Linked DNA regions of Coturnix japonica. The protein of the gene in region 3 purifies or fractionates together with the protein of the main gene of each other region. This does not show direct contact. Links are inferred from orthologs where the notes say so. Each region holds a gene or a part of one and is shown on either strand. Other genes may lie near its edges. The genes, in order: RIPK1, TLR4 and TICAM1.

The links.
Region 1: the proteins of TICAM1 (region 3) and RIPK1 purify together in Homo sapiens (affinity purification with western blotting; 4 studies listed by BioGRID). This does not show direct contact. The link is inferred for Coturnix japonica from reciprocal best matches to the Homo sapiens genes TICAM1 and RIPK1.
Region 2: the proteins of TICAM1 (region 3) and TLR4 purify together in Homo sapiens (affinity purification with western blotting; 3 studies listed by BioGRID). This does not show direct contact. The link is inferred for Coturnix japonica from reciprocal best matches to the Homo sapiens genes TICAM1 and TLR4.

What each region holds. Positions count from the first base shown.
Region 1 is NC_029517.1:63,195,261-63,198,439, reverse strand, and holds part of RIPK1 (receptor-interacting serine/threonine-protein kinase 1), read right to left. Parts: intron 2,865-3,179; coding exon 2,777-2,864; intron 1,951-2,776; coding exon 1,405-1,950; intron 331-1,404; coding exon 259-330; intron 1-258. UniProt on the Homo sapiens protein: Serine-threonine kinase which is a key regulator of TNF-mediated apoptosis, necroptosis and inflammatory pathways.
Region 2 is NC_029532.1:2,459,501-2,462,831, reverse strand, and holds the end of TLR4 (toll-like receptor 4), read right to left. Parts: coding exon 1,584-3,331; 3' UTR 578-1,583; downstream 1-577.
Region 3 is NC_029543.1:3,917,947-3,922,354, forward strand, and holds the start of TICAM1 (TIR domain-containing adapter molecule 1), read left to right. Parts: upstream 1-1,565; 5' UTR 1,566-1,735; exon of another isoform or gene 1,736-1,873; intron 1,874-2,676; 5' UTR 2,677-2,883; coding exon 2,884-4,408. Other genes in the region: perilipin-3-like, read left to right, coding at 1-242.

The DNA.
Region 1 (3,179 bases), on a different chromosome or scaffold from region 3:
GTTTCAAGATCACAGAATTGTAGGGGTTGGAAGGGACCTCTAGAGATCATTGAGTCCAACCCCCCTGCCAAAGCAGGCTCCCCAAACCACGTCACACAGGTAGGCGTCCAGGCGGGTCTTGAATATGTCCAGAGAAGGAGACTCCACCACCCCCCTGGGCAGCCTGATGATGAAGATGCTGAAGCTTTTTTCCTCACTGATCGTAATGCAATGCATAAACTGTTGGCTACCAAGACAAACAAAGGCTACAGCATTTACCTCTGGTTATTGGAGTTGCAGGAGGATAATATGTGAAAGTTCCCCTTGTGAAAGAGGCAGAAACCTTGATACCTAAAGAGAGAGGAAATGCCAGAAGTGTTATGGAAATTAAAAAAAACAAATCTACAAGTACTGCTGTTATTTGTACAGTGTGCATAGCGCTCTTAAATACAAAAAGACAGAAAGTTTTTTAACAAACAGGACTTTATCTCCTTTAATAACTCTGAAGCAGTTACCCTTATTGTGGTTTTGCTTATGGACTGATAGCCTTTGTGATCCTTGGATCCCAGTGAGAACAACAGGATTCCACATGGGTGTATGAACACCTGCCTGGCAGAAAGCAGCACAGGATCACAGCGTAGACACAGGTATTACTGCCTCCAAACCAAGAAGGCTGCCGAGCACATTGCTATTTACTGCTGAGACTGATCATGGTTTGTTAGCATGTTAGTTGTGACCAGCTGTAGCTGGGGATGCCACCGTATCTTCTGTTGGTAGCAATAATGTCCTGCAGAGATGTAACTTCCTGTCTGATGTAGTAATGGATTTGGATGCGCTCAGATGAGCTCTGACAGTTTGTGACTGGGCAGTAAGAGTGACTGGGTTATGGTCACCAAATAAGACAATAGAAGAACTGCAGTGCAGGTCTTCTGCATCTGCCTGATGCCTGCCATGATATTGTATGTTGCCTCCCTACAATGATTGCTTCCACTTGTTACTGACACTCACTGTTCTCTTCGTTTTCTCCATAGCTTTCTATTCCACAGTTCACTAGCAAACTGTAAGGGCATCTCTGTGTTAGCACTGAGCAGTGTTCTCTGGAGAAACCAGTTAAGAGCTTTAGTTCCTTGTTAGCTCCCTGAACTCTTAACTTGCTGCAAATCAAGCTTAAATATCTCTTTTCTGAAATGCTACATGCACATACATGAGAAAAGTTCCATTTTTGCGCACACAGCCTGTGGTGTGAATGTTACATTCTGTGAGTCAAAAATACTCCTTAGTTTTCCAAGTGTGATTAGTAAGAGCTCTTGGTTTTGTTAGCTGCTGCAGTATTATCCACTGTCTGCTATTATTAAGGCTGCTTTGTCTTTAGAGGAAAAAACACATTTTCAGAAACACAAGAGTTAAGAGGAGGAAGAATCTCACCTGTATCCACATCTGCATTCTTTTGTTGCTGGTTTACGCTGTTCTGTGCCCCCAGGTTTGGGCGAGATTCCGGCACAGGAGTTTTGCTTAGGCTAAAGGCACTTGTTGAACATGGATCATAGCGATCTTCAGTGTTTCCTGTTAGGAGACTGTTAACGTTTGGCCCATAAAAATTTTCTAAATTTCCCTGAGTTGGTATTGCAGCTTGTTTTGGCCAAAACCAAGGGTTAGTGTTTGATCCTATATTTTCAGCTTTGTAATACAGTTCACCCCATTGAGGAACAGAAGGCAGCTTTGCAAATGGATCATTGGAAACTTTAGGTCTCGTTTCTCTCTCTCTCATTTCAGGGCTGTATGGTGGAGCTACTGATTTATCCATCCGGCTGCCGTATGCATGGTAGTCGTATTCACGTTCAAGTTTTCTTTCAAGATTGTCAGGGGATGTAAACGAAGTCTCACAGCTCTCAACAGGCTGGTTCTCAGGGTAGGCAGCAAACAAGGCTTCATTAATCTGACCCTGAGAGCTGTGTAGAGAATTAGGTTGATCTGAAAGGGAAAAAAATGAAGTATTTAAAACAGATTCTATTGCAAGTATATAACTAGTGGTGACATTAGATTCTATTAATTTATTTTTAATACTATGGTAAATTATAAAAGATGAAACTGTAGCATCACTTCCAGCATAAGCTGTTTTATGTAATACTTCCCTTTCTGGGAAGTGTCACTGAATTATGCTTAGGAAAGCAGTGTCTGAATTCACTGTGTATTCTGCATATATCGACACCAGGTTCTTAGTCACTGAAACAACAGGTTCCCAGCAGCACTCATAGGGTCTAATTTACTACCAAGTCTTGACTTCATTAACTGGTATTTAACCAGTGTAAGACCAGAGTATAACAAGATGGAAGATAGAACTCACTGTAATTGGCGTTACTTAATGCAACACAAATAATTTGTCACTGAAGTCATATCTGCAAAAGATTATGTAGAAATCCTATCTGGAGATGTCACCAAAAAAAAGCACAAAAGCATCTGTAATCTGTAGTCTTACATTATTATTTTTGCTAGGGAAATGTACCTACGCTACTTTAAAAGTACAGCAATTGGCCTGCCTTACTAGGTCCAATAGTTCTACTTCTGTTATGGCAAACATAGCTTTGGTGAAGGTTTATCGGTTGCCTGTTATAGTTCCAAGTTACTTGCTTAATAAAATCTTTACAGTGGTGTGGGCAAAGTTAGTAGGATTTGACTTCTACTGGATTTTAGAAGTACTGAATGACTGAGTCTCTCCATAGCTACAAAAGGGGCAACTTTATCTTTAGCAGAGTACATGCCAGGATGATGTGCTAGTTATGCAACTTGGAACACCCACCTATTTGGCCATTGCTGGTATCTACTACAGCATCTATTTGAAGGGATTTCATCCTCTGCAGCAGTTCTTCTGACTTGGGCCACATTTCCTACATGTAAGAAAAGAGCATATGGTCAAGTTATAGGTAAAAGCTTAACGAGAGGAAGCACCTATAGAATAGAAAACACATCCTTATACTGAAGTCACCTGGGTGAACAGATTCCATCAATCTTACAGAGGACAGAGCCTTGCAGAAAATAGCCGCTGCTTTGCTACAGATGGGCAAAATCTTATCTTCAGTGAAAGGAGGAAGAACTGTAATGCAACTGTAGTAATTCTGAGCTGGCCAGAGAACACCATTTACCTAAATGAGTATAAGTTTAATTGGCACATAGGGATACATTTCATAATTAATGTCTCTCCT
Region 2 (3,331 bases), on a different chromosome or scaffold from region 3:
TCAAAAGAGTGGCAATGCATTGGCACAGGCTGTCCAGGAGGTGGTGGATCTCACCCAGCAGAGCCTGTGGTGCATGGGTGGACACCTACAGCACACAGCAGCTTGGCACTGCACCCCAGTATAGGGTGTTCTTCTGCACCACCCCTGCTGTCCTCCTACAGTTGCTTTGATATGCAACAAACTGTTCCTTTTTAAGCAATACTGGCCTAAACCCTTATTGTGATACTCAGAACCACTTGCAGGCTTTCTGAAGCCCATTATTACAATTACAATCAAGAATCATAGGATGCCAGAAATGCGTATGCACCGAACTGTTTGCAGAAGAGACGCGAAGAGGGATGGAGAAATGATGCTTCTGTACTGCTCAACTCAGCAGCAGTGAGTCTCACCCCATTTCATTTTCCCTCATTCTCTTTCCTGACGTAACTGATGATATCCGGGGCTAATATTTGCTTTTCCTCCATGTTCTCCTGTAGCCTTGAGGCACGGAAACTAGAGCTGGGCCTGTGTCCCAGCACTGCCTCCCATAGCCAATCCCCATCCCCTGCCCTAGTCAACAGGTGCAAAACAAACTGTCTAGGCAAGCAAACACAGCATCCAGCTTGGTTTTATTAAAGCTTTGTTTCATGGGTCACAGAAGACACTAGAGAGGTTTTTGTTAGTGTTATCCCAATACACTACTGATAGAACACACAGAGAAGGGACTGTGGGGCATCTTTTTCCAGCACAAGCCCTGAAATTAGCTTTCCCTCTTTTGGAAGTAATGTCTGAAGTCAGTCTCACCTATAGCTGGCTTCCACGGAGATGCTGCTATCTGGTGCTGAGAAAAGTGAGATGGATCAGGCCTTTTCTTCTGAGAAAATATCAGGTCTGATTCACCACTCAATTGCTTCTGTTTTACCTCTGTAGAATGGCATTGATTATAGAGGGATTTGCAAGTTTAAGACTAGACTAACTCAGTGATTAATCCCAACCAAAGCCTTCCGTAAATAGAGAGCAATACTCCAGCAGTATTCAATATCCAACGCATCAATAGATTGCTCTGTACTGTGATTCAATGGCATTAAACTTTCCCTCCTTTTAGTCACAGTTAGTGATGGGATACTTTTAGTTTAGCTAACCCAGACCTAAATCTTATTTCTTTTCCTACCATGTCTAGAGTTTGGAGCTGTTCTGTACCTTTACCCTCACCCAGAAACCCTGGGGTCCACTCAAAGTGTCAGACTGAAATTCTGCTGAGCAAACAGCCCAAACTGAGTGTCAGAGGTAAGAACAGCCCATCCATTCTCATATCTATTCACTGACCCACCAGATCTGCATGGATTTCTGGACCGGCTTCAGCTGACTCCTACAGACAACAACAGAGCTCAGGCATCTGCAGTTTTTCAAGCTGTTGCCACTCCTTATCTTGATAGCTGCCTGGAGGAAGGGCAGTCATCAAAGTAGGTGTTTCTGTAGTGCTTTCACATTGTCTCTTTTCACTTTGTCCAACCCTGAACAGTCACAGAAGGACGGGCTTCTGAGCACCAAGCATCAGCCAAGGCCAGGGTGGGAGACAGGACAGAAGTGATGTTTCTTTCTCTTTACATGAGTTTTATCTCCTCCTGATTCCATCTTTTGCCTTCTAGCAGGACTGATGTCAGCTGCCTCCAGAAGATATGCTTGCTTATTTCTTTGTCTTTCCACTCCAGATACGTGTTTCTCCTCAGATATCGGGACAGTCCCAGCCTCTGCCTCAACAAGGCCTTATCCACTTCCCCTAATATGATCATGATGATTCCAGCCTTCCCTTCAACAAGCTGCCAGGACTGAGCAATGTCGAACTCAAAGCTACACCACTTGCTTTCCAGAAAGTCAGCTGAGATGACTGCAATGACATTTCTGCTACTCAGAAAACCTTCTTGGATTATATTAGTGACAATGGGTACCCCCGGTAAAAAATCCCTGTAGTAAAGACAAAGCTGGAAGGGAGGTTTTCCTTCTTCTAAGGGTTCCACAAGCTCTTTCATCACCCATTCTTGGTCTTTGCTGGAATGGATAACAAAGGCATCGTAGGTATCTCCCCTTTCTGCAGAGTGTTTGCACCCACTGAGCAGCACCAACGAGTAGTATAGCTGGAAGAAGTACTTATAAATGAGGAATAGAAACACTCCTGCGGCAACCAACACAATCACTGAGCATGCTACTGTGGTTGGGTTGGGATGGCAAGAGGACATATCAAAGCTTGACAGGCTCACGTTCTCCATGTAGGCAGGTGTGTGGCATATCATTGAATGCTTGTTCTGCAGTAGATCCTGCTTTCCCTTGACCCATTTCAAGAAGTTCAAGTGTATGCAGGAGCATTCAAACAAGTTGTGAGAAATGTCTAGTGAGACCAGACCATCAGGCAGGATTTTCAGGGCTGAGTCTGACAGGAAACTCAGCTGGTTGTTGCTGAAATCCAGGGCTGTGAGGGCTTGGAGTGGCTTGTAGGTTACAGGATCAAAAGTCAATAGCTTGTTGTTGCTGATTATTAGCTCTTTTAGTTCAGAGAGAGCATTAAATGTACTTTGGTCCACCCATACCAATTTGCAATTTGAAATATCCAAGATGCGGAGGCGTCTTACATTCTCAAAGTAGTTGGTCAGTGTGTTGTTCTCAAAGGAATTGCCTGCCATCTTTAGCACTTGCAAAGAGTCCAAGCCATGAAAGATGTGATGGGACATAACATGAGTTTTGGTGTAGGAGATATCAAGGTAAATGAGTTTCTGAAGGAGTAGAAAGACAGGGTAGGTGCCATGATGAATTATTGTGGTGTGTTGAAGGTCCAAGTAGAGCAGATTTCTCAGATTAGCAAAATCTCCAGTCAAACTGATGTCAGAATTGAAGCTTAAGTTCAAGTGTTTCAAATTTGGAGACCTGGGAAACTTATGGGAACAGCAGGTAAGGAAGGAGAGACGATTCTCACTCAAATCTACAACCTCCAGGTAAGTCAGACTCCCAAACTTTTGCTCGAAGCTATTTAGGTCTTTGCTCTTGGTAATACGAAGCACTCTCAACTCCTTAAAAAGAGACAGCTTCTCAGCAGGCAACTCCTGAAACTTAGATTTCTTCCATTCCAGGTGTTTCACTTGAGAAAACATAGGAACTTCTGACAACGTTTCAAGACGAAGGTCCACGAACCGAATAGTGGAGACATTGCCTATGCAGTCAAAAAGAGTGTCTGTGTCATTCTCAAAGTCTCTGAAACACATTAAGACAAACTCCTGCATCTGCACCTGACACAGACCGCTCAAGAGTCCGTTCTGAAATGCTGTCAGCTTCAGAATGTTAGTGAATTCTCCAACTATTA
Region 3 (4,408 bases):
CAAAGGCAAAAGTGTCACAGGATAGCAGAAAGGGGAAGAAAGATAAGAGTAATATAAAATCATTTGCCTTAGAAGAGGCTGCTTCATCAAAGGTGACTAAGATGCCTGAAGAACCAAAAGGAGCAAAAATGATTCCGGGGGAAGCATGTAGAATGCTAGAGAAGCTAGAAGAGAAGATAGGTGTGGAAGAGGCATTGGCTGGGAAGGAGATAATAACGAATGCACTGAAGGAAGATCCCTGAGAAGTACAGCTGAGCTGAGGCCCCTTGAGTAGAACGTCCCTTAGTCTTCTAATCATGCGCCCAACTGTCAGTCACGCTGGGTGTTCCTCCTGCTTTCACTATCCGAGGATTTTACAGTAAGACATAGTTTGCAAGGAGGCTCGATGACCAAGGTGGGGTGATTCCAGATCTTGATGTATTTTTTTCTTAAAGCATGTTAGTCCAAAAAAGGAAGGTAGAGGGCCTATACTTCATCTCTTTTAATTAAGTCAGCACGGCTGTATGTGATTGGCAGTTGATGCTGAGACAAGCTGTGAGTGAGAAGTCTCAAGTTATTTTTAATGTTGAATTATGTTTATGACTTCATCCAAGCTGCAGAGATCCTAAAAGTTATGCACTCAGCCTTTGATCGTGTTTTCCTCCGGAAGTTTTAGAACTACATGTTACAGATACTACTTCCCTTCTGACTTCAGCTTCCCTGAGAGGCTGAACCCTGCAGCAGACCAGGAACAGCTGGGGGCTCCTTCTGAGAAGTGCCTCTTTTTTTATCAGCCAAACACCTGCTGTTTTGTAGAGGGATTTTCTTGTAAGCATGTCAATCTGCAGTGGGACTGTCTTTCCTGATAGTGAAAAGGACTTCAGGGATTATCTGATTGTGTCTAAATTAACACCACGAGTGAAATATTTTGTGGCTTTTGCCAGGAGTTACTCTGCTGTGTTTATAGGAGTATGCTGTAAACAAAATAGGGAGATAGGTACTGTTCACTTTTCCCAAGCAAACAAGGCTTTGTAGCTATTCTTGATGTTGTTTATTTTGTACTGGTATGGCACCACTGATAGGACTGGGGTAATGGCAAAAACTTCAGAATAAAATTGGTGTTCTTTCCTTTAGCCAGAGCAGGTTGTAAGCTTGTGTTGGTCAAATCGCTTCTCCTAATAAATGCTTTCAGTGGATAGCTGCAGCAGGAGGAACGTGGCTGTATCACGCCACAGGATACTGCTGCGTGCCGTTGGCTGCCCTGACAGTGCTCCAGCCCCACGCTACGTACACATCACACACCCATCGTACCTCTGGCTCCTGACGCTCGGAGGAGTGATGCCAAAACCCTCTCGCAATAAGAAAATGTAGTTCTTCTGGTGGGTGTGCTCTTGCCAGCTTGCGTTAAATACCTCCAGGAGCTGTTACAGAGGGTGACGGCACACGGTGCGATCTATGGCTCATCCTCTGCCGGGGGCAGCCCGACGGGGAGCGGGAGGGGCGCTGCTTCCTGCCCCGGCTCCGCTCCCGTCCGGGCTCCGCTGAGCCCGCTCCGCCCCAGCCCTGCGGCCGATCCCCGCTCCGCTCCGCCCCGTAGTGTCGAGTTCCTCCGCTTCCTCGTGTGACAGGCGGCCCCGCCGGTCAGCAACGACCCCGGGCCCGGGAAAGCCCGGAGCGTTCCGCTGCAGACCCCGTCCGCGGCCTCGGGCCTGACCCCGAGCGGCTCCGCGGGGCGGCTGGCGCGGGAGCAGCGCAGGTAGGACCGCACACCCGGGGTACCGCGGCGGTGAGAAGCCGGGGCTGTGACGGGGCAGCGGTGCTCGTGGTGTGACTGCGTGAGCGCTGCGCATCGCGGCCCCACATCGGGGCAGAGAGCGGCAGCCGGAGGGGCACGGTGAGAGCCGCGAGGGGCTTGGGGATATTTGGGGCGTTTCGCTGAGTCACAAGGCGGAAGGGTATCAACGAGTTTCAAAGGTCTCCCTCTGCTCTTTCGATGTCCGGCCTTACTTTCCTGCCTTCCCGACTGTTTCGCTGAATCGGTTTTTCTTTGAAAGAGCCACTAACTTTCTCGGGTTCATCTTGAGCTCATTCATTATGCAATTAGAGATTTTTTTCTGAGTGCAAGAAACAATACTTTACCAAGTTGAGAGCTATTTGTAGACACCCCAGTTTCCTTTATATGCAGAACGCTGTTCCACCAGGCTGTGTGTGGAGCTGCAGGTCTGCTATTCAGTCTAACCCAGCTCAGCCAGCATTGAGTGCTGCGGCTTAGGAGAGACCAGGGATTAAATATGGAAGGAGATCACACCAATGTTCGCAGTGACATGAGACAGCCCAAGAGAAGATGTGTGGGTGTTCCTGGCCTCCCTGGAGATTTGAAAGGGCTTTATTTCCCAGCTGCCCACTGCAAAGAGCAGAAGAGCGGCTGGAGGGGCCTTGGAGGAGATGAGTGCCTGGCTTTACCCAAATACATGATTAATTTAGCAGTGACTTCAAAACAGTTGTCTATAATGTGAAATAAATGTGAAGAACTTACTCTTTGCTTAGTAACAGAGCTGTAATTATGTGTGTAGCGTGTCACATGCACTGGCATATCTGTAAGCAGTAAATGTGGGGAAGAAAAAAAATCAGAGTACTGAGAGCCAGGGAGCTCTGCCTCATTGTGTCTCAATGTGTTGTCCCATGTTTTTCTCATAGGTTCATTTGCTCCGTTCTTCAAGACAGAGATATCTTGCTTCTGAGACGAGTCCCTGAGCTGCAAAAAGCTTCTGCTTGCATGGTACAGGAATTACAACTGGGACACCACAGAGCACTGCAGGGAAATAAACCTTGAACCCAAATGCTGTAATATGCTCTTTCCCTTCATGCTGCTCCAATCCATCATCTTGGCCACCAGCTGATGAGATGGCACAGAATGCTGAGGTCCAGCCAAGCTTTGAGGATATTTTTAATATTCTGTCCCAGGTCCCAGCAGAAAAACTCCTTAGTCTCGAACAGAAACTGAAGTATTTGATGTCTGGGCCCAGCAGTAAATTACTGCAGGCCATGGTCCTGCTTACTCTGGGACAAGAAGCAGATGCACAAATTTGTCTGAATGCTCTGGGAGATAACCGGGCAGCCCTGTACATCATCCATCAGACCAAACTAGGCACCGCAGGAGTGCAGAAAGGCAGTGGTAATTCTCAGCACCCCCAGCTAGATGCAGGTGCCATGGAACTTCTGGCAGAGATCTACTTGCTGCTGGCAGGTGAAAAGCTGTGCAGCCACAAAGCTGTGGGCAAAGCTAAACAGGCTGCTAGCAGTGCCAGCAGGGATGCTCAGAGGGACACTCTCAATAGCATTGCAGTTGGAGATCAGGAAAGATGTATCAGCACTGTGGATTCAGATAGTGAGTTTCGGACACTGAGATCTGATGTGAGCACAGGATTTCTCGGTAAGACCAGCCCAAATACCATGGTGAAAAGTTCCCCAATGAAGATTAGAAACACCTCAGACCCTTCAGGCCCACAGACCTTGCGCTCCTCAAGGATCTCAGATTCTTTCACTAGTCTCCTGATCAGTCAATCACCAACAGCTATTTTTCACATGCCAGCTCCTTCCTGTGAGTCCAGTCGGCTGTGTGAAGAGAGCACCAGCGATGCTGGACACCCTGATGGAGAGAAACAGAGCCACAGCCTGCAGGAAGCAGGCAGAGCCAGCAGCCCCAGCAGCCGTTCCAGGCAGGATACAAATCCCCAAGTCCCCCATCTGGGGAAGGCACTGCAGGTCAACTCCTGTTGTCCATCTCTCCCTATTGTTGAAACACAGCTGCCCACACTGGGTGCTGTGGGTCAACCTGTTGAGAGTAATGATATTTCCAGCACAGTGATAGCAGAACCTCAGGTACCAAAAGCAAGCAGAGAACAAAAGGAAAAATTATCTACAGATCTTCCCTATTCAAGAACGACAATAAATATTGGTCCTGCCTGCATACCCATAGAAGACTCCTACATTCCAGCAGGCATTTCCAACTCTGTACCTGCTTCCACTTCAGTTTTTCCCTTTCCTCCTCAAACCTATTTCACTTCAACCATTACCCCTGCTCCTCCGAGTGTTCCTTACAACATACCATTCCCCTCCCCTCCCTCTTCAACTGGCCCTCATTCTTTAAAAACTGTGGAAGCAGCATTGGCACCAAAGCCCAATGGTGAAGGGAAAAAGTTCTTCACTTTTGTTATTCTACATGCTTTGGAAGATGAGCGTATTGCCTGTCGCATCAAGGACCTGCTGGAGAACATGGGGGTTCCCAACGGTGCCACATTCTGCGAGGACTTCCTCGTTGCAGGACACAACCAGCTGACTTGCTTTCAGGATGCTATGGAAAACTCTGCTTTCCTCATCCTTCTGCTGACCAAGAACTTCCTGTGTAACCAGTGTATGTTCCAAACAA